3 linked regions of the Canis lupus familiaris genome follow. The protein of the gene in region 1 interacts with the protein of each later gene in a pairwise test. Links are inferred from orthologs where the notes say so. Each region holds a gene or a part of one and is shown in the gene's direction. Other genes may lie near its edges. The genes, in order: HPGDS, ABHD17A and MELTF.

Region 1 (4,257 bases):
CATGCACCGGGAGCCCAACGTGGGATTCGATCCCGGGTCTCCAGGATCGTGCCCTGGGCCAAAAGCTAAACCGCTGCGCCACCCAGGGATCCCCCCGCAAAAGATTTTTTTAAATGTAAGTTAAAACTCAGTGAAAGATAATAAATACAATATGCTAATTTTGTATAGTTCCTTTTTTTTTTTTTTTGCACTTAATTTTGACTTACATACTTTTTTCTTTTTTTTTTTTTTTTTGGTGACTAAGGAGCTGTATTTGTAGCCTAATTAAACTTTTCACAGACCAAAAAAATATTTATATAGTTTTTCATTTCTTATGCTTACAATCAATGGACATAAACATATTTTTGAAAGTTTAAAGCAGTTATAAATGGGAACTATTACATGATTGATAGGTTTCTATAACTGTTTGTGAGTGTAATTATCTGGAAGTTGAAAGCCAGCCTGTCATTAAAATGTTTTAGTGATCTGTAGGTCCAGTAATGCACAAGCAGGTATTTCGCTGGATCGTTTCACTGAACTGTCCCAATATTATAGCTGGAATTAATTGGAGTGAAAAAAAATAAATTTCTAAAACAATTAGGCATTTGTTACTAATCTATGTAAGAATTATCAACAAGGGATGTTAGAACCTTCCACTCCAGGTTTACTTTATTTTTTTTAATTTATTTTAAATTTAATTATTTTTTTAATTTAATTTTTTAATTTATTCATTTGATAGAGAACGCGTGTGCACACAAGCAGGGAGGGGGCAGAGGGAGAAGAAGAAGCAGACTCCTCACTGAGCACAGTGCCTGAGGCACAGTGCCTGATGCCTTCAGCTCAGGATCCCGGACCCTGGGATCACGACCTGAGCCAAAGGTAGACGCTTCACTGACTGAGCCACCCAGGCAACCCTCTTCCCAGGTTTACTTTCAACAGTATGGCTCTTCTGAGAAAAAGAAGGTAAGTGAAATATTCTAGCAGTAATGAGAACTTAAGAAGTCCTCGTAAAAATGTGATTTGTGGGGAAATATAAATTGAGATCATTCATTCAGCAAAAATACTATTAGCGCTTATGGTGTACCTGGCATTCCTTTCCATAATGAGGGCACCAGGGTAAACTGAATAATGAAGTACCTGCCCGGACAGAGCTCACCTTCTGCTGGGGGAGGGTGAAAACCAACCAAGAATATACACTATGCTGTCAGACACGATAATGAAGAAACACACAGCAGGTGAAGGAGATTGGAGGAGGGTTCCAGTGAGAACATGGTCAGCCAAACATTCTCCAAGGAGACCTAATGAATTGAGGAAGCCAGCCACGTGCATATCTGAAAACAAGGCTTGTTTGTGTTCACTCTCTTTCATTCCCCAGGAGCCTATGGTGTAAGGTTTTAAACAGAAATGAGCACGTAGCAATAGGCACACATCAGCACCTGTAACTTTGATTTTACTAACTGAATGCAAATAGGTTAGGTTATTTACACACAGAGATCCTATAAAATGCCAAGAATAACCAGAAGTCTCTGCAGGATTGGACTGTTTGGCAGGCATATTTCATCTAAGAAATGAAGAAAGAGACTTAGGTGGAAGTAAGTCACTTCATCTCTCATTGGCTTGTGGCGGTCACTTACTCATCATATAAACCCAAGATGTAGTCACTTCTGAGAGCACAGAAGATACTAGAGACTCCACGGAGACAGCACAAGTAAGTGAAAAGACTTTACAAAGATAAGAAATGAGATAGTGTTCTTTCTTCATCTTAGTGTTTATTTTTATTACTGTCATATTTTACATGTGACTGAGCAACTGATGACATAATTTCACCATGCCACTCATTCGGGTCTCATTCAGAGCCTCTTTGTTAGTGGCCAAGTAGAAATCATACAATAGTCTTTCTTTCTTTCTTTCTTTCTTTCTTTCTTTCTTTCTTTCTTTCTTTCTTTCTTTCTTTCTTTCTTTCTTTCTTTCTTTCTTTTCTTTCTTCTTTCTTTCTTTCTCTTTCTTTCTTTCTTTCTTTCTTTCTTTCTTTCTTTCTTTTTTTTTCTTTCTTTCTTCCTTCCTTCCTTCCTTCCTTCCTTCCTTCCTTCCTTCCTTCCTTCCTTTCCTCTTTCTTTTATTTCTCTTTTTCTGCTAAGGAATTTTCTTTCTAATATTTTCTACCACTTTAAGGCTCATTTTGTTGAAGCGTCTCCATGTTTTGCCAAGAATTGTATTCTATCATCATTTGGTTTCAAAGGTAATTGGAGGCATTTACCACAGGCTAAGAATCTGAGCTCACAGCTCCCAAAGGATATTTCTGTTATTCCTCTTTGAGGCAAGCATTTAAAATGATATTTAGTTGGTTTTTGATGGGAAAAGAGAGATCCTGGCTTGCCAATGTAAAATGAAACATTCAGGGTTTGACTGAAATCAGTATTTTACTCAGGTAACAAAAATGCTTATGTTTCTTTATTGTCCACAACTTACTCCAACCTGGCAACTTTTCCAGAACCAAACTAGACATGCTCAGGGACCCTGTGAAGGAGGGAAATCAACATTCTTTACCACCAACTGTTAGCGAGTAATGCAATGCTGTCATTTAATGTCATAATGTCATAACAACTTCTTATGTAGACAACAGCATCTTGTGTGATTGCTCTTTAAATCCAATTTTTACATTTCAAAACACTACAGTCTATATAATGGGAGTACAAACATTGTACTCTGCTGGTACATCTTGTATAGTTTAAATACTGGTCAAGTTGAGATATAGCAAAGTGCTATCAGCAAATTCACAAGTAATCTTTGTTTTTATACTTCAAACCCACAGGTTATTGTATTACTACTAGGCATATATAAAACTGTATCTGAAATTCTCGAGTATGTTTGATGCTCCTTTAATTTAAGAGTAAGGGCTCACATAGATGAACATTTTTAGGAGTAAAATAAAGATAGTGTTAGGGTTTTTAAGCAAATTGTAAAATGGTTAATATTTAATTCCTTATTTGAACATTTTCTATCCATCAAAATTACTCCCAAAATGCAATTCCTTTTTCAGTTATCTGTTGAAATTTTGAAGGTGTATAACATAGTAAATGAATATTAGCCTCCTTTGCCAGAATTGAGTTTGGATGGTTAGCTCCTTTCTGGCATAGACACTAGCATTTTTGATATTATGTTTTACTGTGCTCTTACAGCAACATACAGATTAGAATATTAGCTCAGCTAAGACGAAATGGTTTTATTATAGCTTTTTTTTTTTTATCAATGACTGTATTAAAATTGCCTCTGGGATTGAATGCTCCTGTGTTTTGTGGTTGTTAATCAGTTGAGAAGTACCAGGGTTACATAAAATAAAAAGAGCTGCAAGTCAGGAGAAAGGAGGCCTCCAAGACAGAACTTTTCAAACCTATTATTTCCCGTGTAAAAGACTTACTTTATTTTTAAGATTTTACTTATTTATTCATGAGAGGCACACAGCGAGAGGTAGAGACATAAGCAGAGGGAGAAGCAGGCTCCCTGTGGGGAGCTTGAAGAGGGACTCGATCCCAGGACCCTGAGATCACAACCTGAACCAAAGGCAGATGCTCAACCACTGAGCCACCCAGGCATTCCGAAAGATTTACTTTCTAAATAAGGTTAGCATATAGTAAAAGCTAAATCATCTTTTGTATTTAACGGCTCCATCCGAGTTCAGAGATGAAAGTGTCTATCCAGGGGTTTTATGAATCCTCATTTGTATGTTCTTTGGGAAACTGTGTATCTTATTTTTCAAACACAATTCTCAGTGGGTTTTTTTATTTAGCTGGTGAATCAGGAACCTTATTTTTTTTAAAAGATTTTTAATTTATTTGAGAGAGACAGAGAGAGAGAGAGAGAGAGAGAGAGTGCATGATGAGGAGGGAGGGGCAGAGGGAGAAGGAGAAAGGAAGCAGGAAGCAGGAAGGAGCAGGCCCTGGGGTTTGATCCCATAATCCTGAAATCATGACCTGAGCCAAAGGCAGATGCTTTTTTTTTTTTTTTTTTTTAAGATTTTATTTATTTTTTTGAGAGAAAGAGAGAGAGTACATACATGAGAGACTCTCCGCTGAGCAGGGGGTGGAAGTGAATCCCAGGACCCTGCCAAAATGACCGGAGCTGAAAGTAGATGTTTAACCGACTGAGCCACCCTGGTGCCCTTTGAATGAGAAACTTTAAATGACTTTCTTCAGAGTGGAAGGAAGCCAGTCCTTAGTTTTAGTTGTAAAGGAAAGCGTTAAGCATGATGAGCTTCCCTTTTGATTTCTTGTTCTGTAT
Region 2 (3,214 bases), on another chromosome or scaffold:
CAGAGCCTTTGTTTGTTGTATGTCCCCTGCCTCTGGACGCTGCAGCGCTGGCCCCCGGGAGCGCGCGCTCAGGTCCCTCCAGGCAGCAGTCTGTCCTGGCCTTGGCTGCTCTGTGGCCCCTGGGGGTGGCAGATGAATCCTAGACAGATGGCATGGAGATGGGCTGGGGGGAGAGTCTGGGCCAGCCGTGTGGACAGGGGCCTGGGGAGGGTGACAGGGTATGTGTGGGCACAGAGCAGGGGGCTGTGTGGGGGATTGCTGGGGTGAGCCAGGGGTCTCATCGCCCAGCACAGCCTGCAGGCCGAGGCTGGGCTGACAGGTGGCAGACGTGGCAAGAGTTGGTGACCGCACGCCGAGGGAGGGTGCAGCAGGTGCTGGTCTGGTAGCTTTGGGTCCACCCACAGAGGGACCCATCCTGTGGATGACGAACTGGGCCCACAGGTCCATGGGGTGGAGGGGGAGCAGTTCGGGCAAGAGTGGACTGGGCCGTGAGGAGGGCCAAGAGACCTCCCCGTGGAACCCGAGGGAACCCCACCTCTCGCTCTTCCCCTGCAGGGTTTCCCTCTGCACGACGTGGAGATGCAAGGCTGCGAGGCTCCCGAGGGCTCGGCTTGGACCACGATGGGGCTGGGCTGCGGCCTCCTAAGGGGGCTCCTGTCTGGGGCGGTGGCTGGGGGTTGCCCTCCCCCCTGCCCGCGTCTCAGAGCACCCCCACCCCTCCCCTGCCAAGCGAGGCCCACCCTGGGGCCTGGCGCCCGCCATGAACGGCCTGTCAGTGAGCGAGCTCTGCTGCCTTTTCTGCTGCCCACCCTGCCCCGGCCGCATTGCTGCCAAGCTCGCCTTCCTGCCGCCGGAGCCTACCTACTCGCTGGTGCCGGAGCCCGAGCCGGGGCCTGGTGGAGCTGGGGCTGCCCCTTCGGGGACCCTGCGGGCCTCTGCTGGCACCCCCGGGCGCTGGAAGCTGCACCTGATGGAGCGTGCTGATTTCCAGTACAGCCAGCGTGAGCTGGACACCATCGAGGTCTTCCTGACCAAGAGCAGCCGGGGCAACCGCATCTCCTGCATGTACGTGCGCTGTGTGCCCGGCGCCAGGTGAGCCCACGGAACCGGGGCAGGACCCAGACGCGCGTGGAGGGGTAGATGGACCTAGTCAGGGTGGGGGGTGCCCGGTACGGGACATGCTCCATGCTCGGGCCTTTCGTTTCCTGCCAGAGGCAGCTCCCAGATGGCCAGGGCCCGGGTGAAGGCCCATCTGGCGGCGCAGGCACCCTGGGGGTTCTTGCCAAAGAGGGTGGCTGATGAGATTCTCCAAGAGCAGGCCCCACTCCACCCATGGCCCCGTGGGACCGCCCCAGGCCCCTCATGCCGGTGCCCTTCCAGACGCAGCCCCGTCACACGGATGAGTGCCAAGGCTCAGGGAGGCCGATCGCAGTGGCCGTCACCCCTGCCTGCTGAGGTGCGGCCCGCTTCAGGGTCTCCGCACTCACCTGCCCTGGGAAGGGCTTCTGGGTGCTGGGTGCTCAGTGAGGCCTCGCCATTCGCTTTGGGACCAGGGCACCCGAGGCCTGGCAGGTGGCTCGGGCCAAGTCTGACTCCTCATTAACAGGGTGTCCTTGGGGCTCTCCCTTAAGCACCAGAGCAGGAAAGAGGTGGGGCCTTCTAGGTGTTTCTGCCTTTAGACCAGACAGGGTTCTGACTCCACATCTGAGTACAAAGGGCAAGTTTTTGCCTTTTAGCGAGGCTGGGGCCCAGGGGTGCTGGAGGAAGAAGCCACTTGGAGTCCATTGGCCAGGATCCAGCCTGTCGGTGTGACCTGGGGCGGGTCCTGATCTGCCAGCAGCCTTGCAGGGCAGAAACGAGTGCCAGGGTTGGGGTCTGTAGGAGTGGGAAGAGACGCTGCGAACAGGGATTGGTCTTATTGTGGGGTAAGGGTGGGTGCTGGCTATCAAGAGGAGAAGCCGCTGTCTCATTCTCTGGAAGGTTCCAAGCAGCAGGCATACGTGTGTGCCATCCTTGAGCTCTCAGAGTCCCTCTAAAAGGAGTGATTCCAGAGGACAGCCATGGCCCAGAGGGAACGAACGTGGCGGTCACTGAGCTTGCTGAGCTCACACTGTGGGTCCACCCTGCGCTGAGACCCTGCCCAGTGGTCCCAGGGTTCCCTTCCTCTCACAGAGGGGACATCTAAGGTTCTGCTGCTGTCCCCTGCCCAAGACCTCACAGCCAGGAGGGAGTCTCCCTCATTAATATTCTTGTCTGTGGTGGTTGGGGGCCCAGGGGGTGTCCTATCCCCATGCTTTCTGACCTGTCCTCCCTCCGTCCCTGCCCCAGGTACACGGTTCTCTTCTCCCACGGCAACGCGGTGGACCTGGGCCAGATGAGCAGCTTCTACATTGGCCTGGGCACGCGCATCAACTGCAACATCTTCTCCTACGACTACTCTGGCTACGGCGTCAGCTCTGGCAAGCCCTCTGAGAAGAACCTCTATGCTGACATCGATGCTGCCTGGCAGGCGCTGCGTACCAGGTGGGCTTTATGTTGGGGTGGGGGTGAAGGCAAGGGGGCAAGGGGGAAGCCTAGGCTACGTCTGGGTGGGGCAGGCACCTCTCCCCTCCTGGGAACCCCTTGCCTGGCAGGGCTGTGGATGGGCCGGGGCTGTCCCTAGGGGAGTAGAGGTTCTGTCTGGAGGTGGGTGGTTGGAGGATGCGGACTGTGTAAAAAGACTCTGAGAGTCTCGGCAGCGAGGGAGCATTTGGTGTGCACGGTAGAGTGGGGCTGCTTTGTCATAGTCTCAGAGCTGGCCTGCGAGGCATGAGTAGCCACTCACTGTGGTCTCCTCTTGAGGTAGGGCTCCTTTGGGCCCTGGAGGATTCTGGAAGGTTCTAGAGGGCTCTGTCAGGAAGCTTGGTGTCTAGCACAGCCTTGGGGCCAGTGGGAGGCTAGGAGCAGAGGCTAGGTCCTCTTTGGGTTAGGGTCCCCAGGACATACCTGTGTGCTTGCCTTAGGGCCACCAGGGTCTGGGCCCACCTCCCTCCCTGGAGCCCCCATCATGCTCCTCATCCAGTTCCTGGGCAGCCCCCTCCCCACCTTATTGCTTATTCACTGAAGCGTACTAACTTGGCGTCTGAGCCCAGAGAATCCTTTGGAAGGAGGCCACCCTGACTCTGACCCTCCTGGAAGTAGTGGGGCCCTGCCCACTGCCTCCTTGGGGCTGCCC
Region 3 (4,077 bases), on another chromosome or scaffold:
GGAAGCTCGGGGGCACTCTCCCTCTCCTCAGTGGGAGTCCAGAAAGGGACCAGACTATCCTGCAGCCCTTCTCCTCTATAAAGCTCTTTCCAGGGGCAGCCCCGGTGGCGCAGGGGTTTAGCGCCACCTGCAGCCCAGGATGCGATCCTGGAGACCCGGGATCGAGTCCCACAACAGGCTCCTTGCATGGAGCCTGCTTCTCCCTCTGCCTGTGTCTCTGCCTGTGTCTCTCTCTGTGTGTCTCTCATGAATAAATAAATAAAATCTTTAAAAAAATAAAAAAGCTCTTTCCAGGGCCCCCGAGTGGCCCAGCGGCTGAGCGTCTGCCTTCGGCCCAGGGCGTGACCCCGGGGTCGTGGGATCGAGGCCCACGTCGGGCTCCCTGCAGGGAGCCTGCTTCTCCCCCTGCCTGGGTCTCTCATGAATAATGAAGCCCATTTATCTATATGAAGCTCTTTCCGGGTTGAGTGACCGGCCCCGGATGCTCCGATTGCCTCCCGACCGTTCCTCCGACCCCCGAAGTGGCAGGCCCCAGGCCCAAGGCCCCAAGGCCAGGGTTCCCCGTCTCGCCGAGGACCCGGGTGCGTGTGTCATGGGCAGCCCCTCCCGGCTGAGGGCCCGGCAGAGCGGGGCGGGGGGTCTCACCGGTGGGTCACGGCGGGGCCCAGGCATAGGGAGGGGCCGCGTGGCCGAGCCGCTGCCTGGACTCCCGGCGTGTGTCCTCCTGGACGGATCGTGGGAAGGCCGGGGGCGCTCAGGGTGGGGGCGCCCAGGAGGCTTGCTCCCCCGGGCCGGGCCAGGCCACCGCGTCCCCAGCCGGAGACCCCGCTCGACCCCCTCCCCGCGGGGCGGGGCAGCCCCGGGACGCGCACACGGGCTCCCGGCCTCCAGCTTCCTGGGTCCTCGACGACGCGGGTCAGCCCCGGTGCGGCGGGCGGGGGGGACCGGGTCAGCCTGGGGTGCGGCCTGGGGCACGGCCGGCAGGGGGCGCAGCGGGCCAGGACCCGGGCAGCCCCGGTGGCGGGACGGGGACGGGGACGGGGACGGCAGGGCCGGCGGGGCGGGGGCCAGTCCCGGGGGCGGGGCGGGGCGGGGCGGGGCTGGGCGCGCACTTAAGCGGCGGGGCGGGGGCGGGGGCCTGGCTGCGGGGCCGCGGAGCCCGACGGCGTCATGCGGGGCCCGAGCGGGGCCCTGTGGGTCCTCCTGGCGCTGCGCACAGGTGAGGCCGGGCCGCGGGGCAGGGGCAGGGGCGGGGGCGGGGCCGAGCGCAGCCGGGGGCGCTGGGGGAGCCCAGGGGGCGTCTGGAGGGCTTCCCGGAGGGGGCGGCCTGCGCCTTCGAGCGGCGGAGGCGGGGCGGGGCGGGCGGGCCCGGGAGCGGCCGCGGAGCCCCGAGGGACGGGCGCCCCAGGGCGGTCTCCTGGGCCCTCGCCGTGCGTCCCCGAGGGAGCCGGGACCTGGGCGAGAGGCGCCAAGAGGGGCGGGAAGGGCCGGAGCCCACGCGCCGTCGCCGGTGCCCCCGGGCCAGAGAGCAGGGCTGGGCTGAGCGCGGCCCCGACCCCCGGCCCCTCGGCCCCCCCCGGGTCTGGGACGCCCCTGTGGCCGCGGACCTCCCAGGGGAGGGGCAGGGCTGGTCGCGGACTCGCTGTGCACGTCCGCGGGTGACCCGGGAGGCCGCGGTGCTGGGGCAGTGGGCAACCCCCCCCCCCCCCCCGTCCCCCAGCCCTCAGCGGGGCGCAGGTGCGCAGGTTAGGGCAGCTGGACCCCCCCCCCGTCCCCCAGCCCTCAGCGGGGCGCAGGTTAGGGCAGCTGGACCCCCCCCCCCCCCCCCGCCGTCCCCCAGCCCTCAGCGGGGCGCAGGTTAGGGCAGCTGGACCCCCCCCCCGTCCCCCCAGCCCTCAGCGGGGCGCAGGTTAGGGCAGCTGGACCCCCCCGCCGTCCCCCAGCCCTCAGCGGGGCGCAGGTGCGCTGGTGCACCACCTCAGACCCCGAGCAGCGCAAGTGCGGCGACCTGAGCAAGGCCTTCGGAGCCGCAGGGATCCAGCCGCCCGTCGGGTGTGTGCAGGCCCCTTCCGCCGACCACTGCATCCGGCTCCTCGCGGTGAGCGCCCCACCCGCTGGGCCGGGGGGGGGGGGGGGAGGGGTCCGACGGGGCACCACAAGGGCTCCATTCACGGCGAGGCTCCGGGTGGCCCGAGTCTCCAGGCAACGGGGCCAGGGCTTCCTGGCCAGCCGGTCCCGCCCAGGTGGGGCCCGGGCACAGTCCTCCCTCCAGGAGAGGCCCCTGCGACAGTGGGGACGCTGGCACCGGCCGCACACCCACCCCGGAGGGGCCCCGGGGGCGCCAGGAGGGCTCGTGCAGTTTCCCAGGAGAGGGCTGGTGGCAGCCCCGGGCGCAGGGAGCGGGGTGCAGGGTGCAGGGAGCGGGGTGCGGGGTGCAGGGAGCGGGGTGCCAGGGGCAGGGAGCGGGGTGCGGGGTGCAGGGAGCGGGGTGCCAGGGGCAGGGAGCGGAGTGCCAGGGGCAGGCAGGCGACCTGGCCCAGCTGGCACCGCCCCTGCGAGCTTGGCCCTCAAGGCCCGACTCCGGGCAGGCACGGCCGGGGGGCCTGGGTCCCCTTGTACTGGGCCCTGACTTCTCTGCAGACCTAGTGCAGGTCCCACGCGGGCCACGGGCTTGCGTGAGGCTCCACTGCCAGGTCCCCCGAGCTAGACGCCATGGCGACCCCAGGACGCTGACAGCATCCTGCCATTTGTGTTTTAGGAGAAAAAAAAAAATGAGGAGGGCATCCGTGGGCCTCGGTCTGCGTCCTAGGAAACCTGAGAAACGGGTTAACAGCGGAGTCGGGGCTCAGAAACAGGGAAACGAGGGAGATTCACCATCTCGCTATGCACCATTTTGTACCATCTGATTTATTCATTCATTTATCCTTAGTGTGTAAAGCCATTAGAAGCCCTAGAAAATTAATAATTTTTAAATGACATAATTAGGAAGCCAAGGCAAGCCTTGACCTAGGAGAGCTGTCACCTGGGACCTGGTAAAGGGTGAGCCCCCTACTCTCGGGGTGCAGGCTGAGCCAGGGCAGGGGACCGGGCCAGAGGACCAGGAGGGACGTCCCGGCAGGCCAGCGGATGGCCCGAGCAGCTGGTCGCGAGGCCCAGGCGGCCGGGCTGGCCTGACCACGTGTCCCCGGCAGGCCCAGGAGGCTGACGCCATCACCCTGGACGGAGGAGCCATCTACGAGGCCGGGAAGGAGCACGGACTGAAGCCCGTGGTGGGCGAAGTGTACGACCAAGGTCAGCAGGCGAAGCGGCCTGGGGGGCGGGAGGCGAAGAGGCTGTCCCCGCAGCGTGTCCCTGCTGGGCCCCGCACAGCCTGCAGCCCTCAAGCCGGTCGGTAGCCCTGTCCCCATAGCAGTCCTGGGGTCCAGGCCAGACTGACCTACACAAGCCCCCCCCGCTCAGAGCAGGGGTGCCAGAGACACAGAGAGCTGACTCGAGTCCGTTCTTCCTTGCGGGAATCCCATCACCCCATAACTTGTAAAGTGGGGAGAGCGGCCTCAGTCCTGTCCCACAGACTAAATGAATCAGCAGGTGCGCACCTGATGCATGGTATGTGCATAGGACTGGGAGTTCCTTTGCCCCAGTCCCTGCGCCTCACACCCCCACATGCTCTAACCCGGCTGCCCCCTGGGAAGCTCACCCAGGACCTGCACGTGTCCAAGGGCTAGCCCCGGTCACGGCCCGGCTCGCTGTCACCTCTAAGGGTGACCCCTGACCCCTCCCCTGGCCCGAAAGAGCTTCTCTTTCCTGTTTTCCCGGAGCTCTGACCCACTCTATCAGGATCCCATCTTCTGTCCTGTTTTCTCTGTCCCTGGCACAGTGGGCCCCTCGAGGAGGGCCTGGTCCTCATCTTTGACACCCCTAGGTCCCTGGTATCCCGCGCAGGCGCTCACTTGGCCCCTTGGTGAATGGGTGACTCAGATGGCTCAGGACACAGCCTAGCGCCTGCACTCAAAGGCCAAAGCACACCCTGCCTCACTGGCCCCAAACACCGCTCTTCCTCTTTAATTAATTCAGCAC

Evidence for each region.
Region 2: the proteins of HPGDS (region 1) and ABHD17A interact in binary tests that used the Homo sapiens proteins (3 or more experiments, as listed by UniProt). The two-hybrid records come from large-scale screens. The link is inferred for Canis lupus familiaris from reciprocal best matches to the Homo sapiens genes HPGDS and ABHD17A.
Region 3: the proteins of HPGDS (region 1) and MELTF interact in binary tests that used the Homo sapiens proteins (3 or more experiments, as listed by UniProt). The two-hybrid records come from large-scale screens. The link is inferred for Canis lupus familiaris from reciprocal best matches to the Homo sapiens genes HPGDS and MELTF.

The regions. Positions count from the first base shown.
Region 1 is NC_049253.1:22,728,694-22,732,950, forward strand, and holds the start of HPGDS (hematopoietic prostaglandin D synthase), read left to right. Parts: upstream 1-1,358; 5' UTR 1,359-1,687; intron 1,688-4,257. UniProt on the Homo sapiens protein: Bifunctional enzyme which catalyzes both the conversion of PGH2 to PGD2, a prostaglandin involved in smooth muscle contraction/relaxation and a potent inhibitor of platelet aggregation, and the conjugation of glutathione with a wide range of aryl halides and organic isothiocyanates.
Region 2 is NC_049241.1:57,556,276-57,559,489, forward strand, and holds part of ABHD17A (alpha/beta hydrolase domain-containing protein 17A), read left to right. Parts: intron 1-555; 5' UTR 556-760; coding exon 761-1,092; intron 1,093-2,328; coding exon 2,329-2,523; intron 2,524-3,214. UniProt on the Homo sapiens protein: Hydrolyzes fatty acids from S-acylated cysteine residues in proteins. Has depalmitoylating activity towards NRAS. Has depalmitoylating activity towards DLG4/PSD95. May have depalmitoylating activity towards MAP6.
Region 3 is NC_049254.1:30,703,753-30,707,829, reverse strand, and holds the start of MELTF (melanotransferrin), read left to right. Parts: upstream 1-1,135; 5' UTR 1,136-1,170; coding exon 1,171-1,219; intron 1,220-1,943; coding exon 1,944-2,098; exon of another isoform or gene 2,099-2,103; intron 2,104-3,191; coding exon 3,192-3,291; intron 3,292-4,077. UniProt on the Homo sapiens protein: Involved in iron cellular uptake. Seems to be internalized and then recycled back to the cell membrane. Binds a single atom of iron per subunit. Could also bind zinc.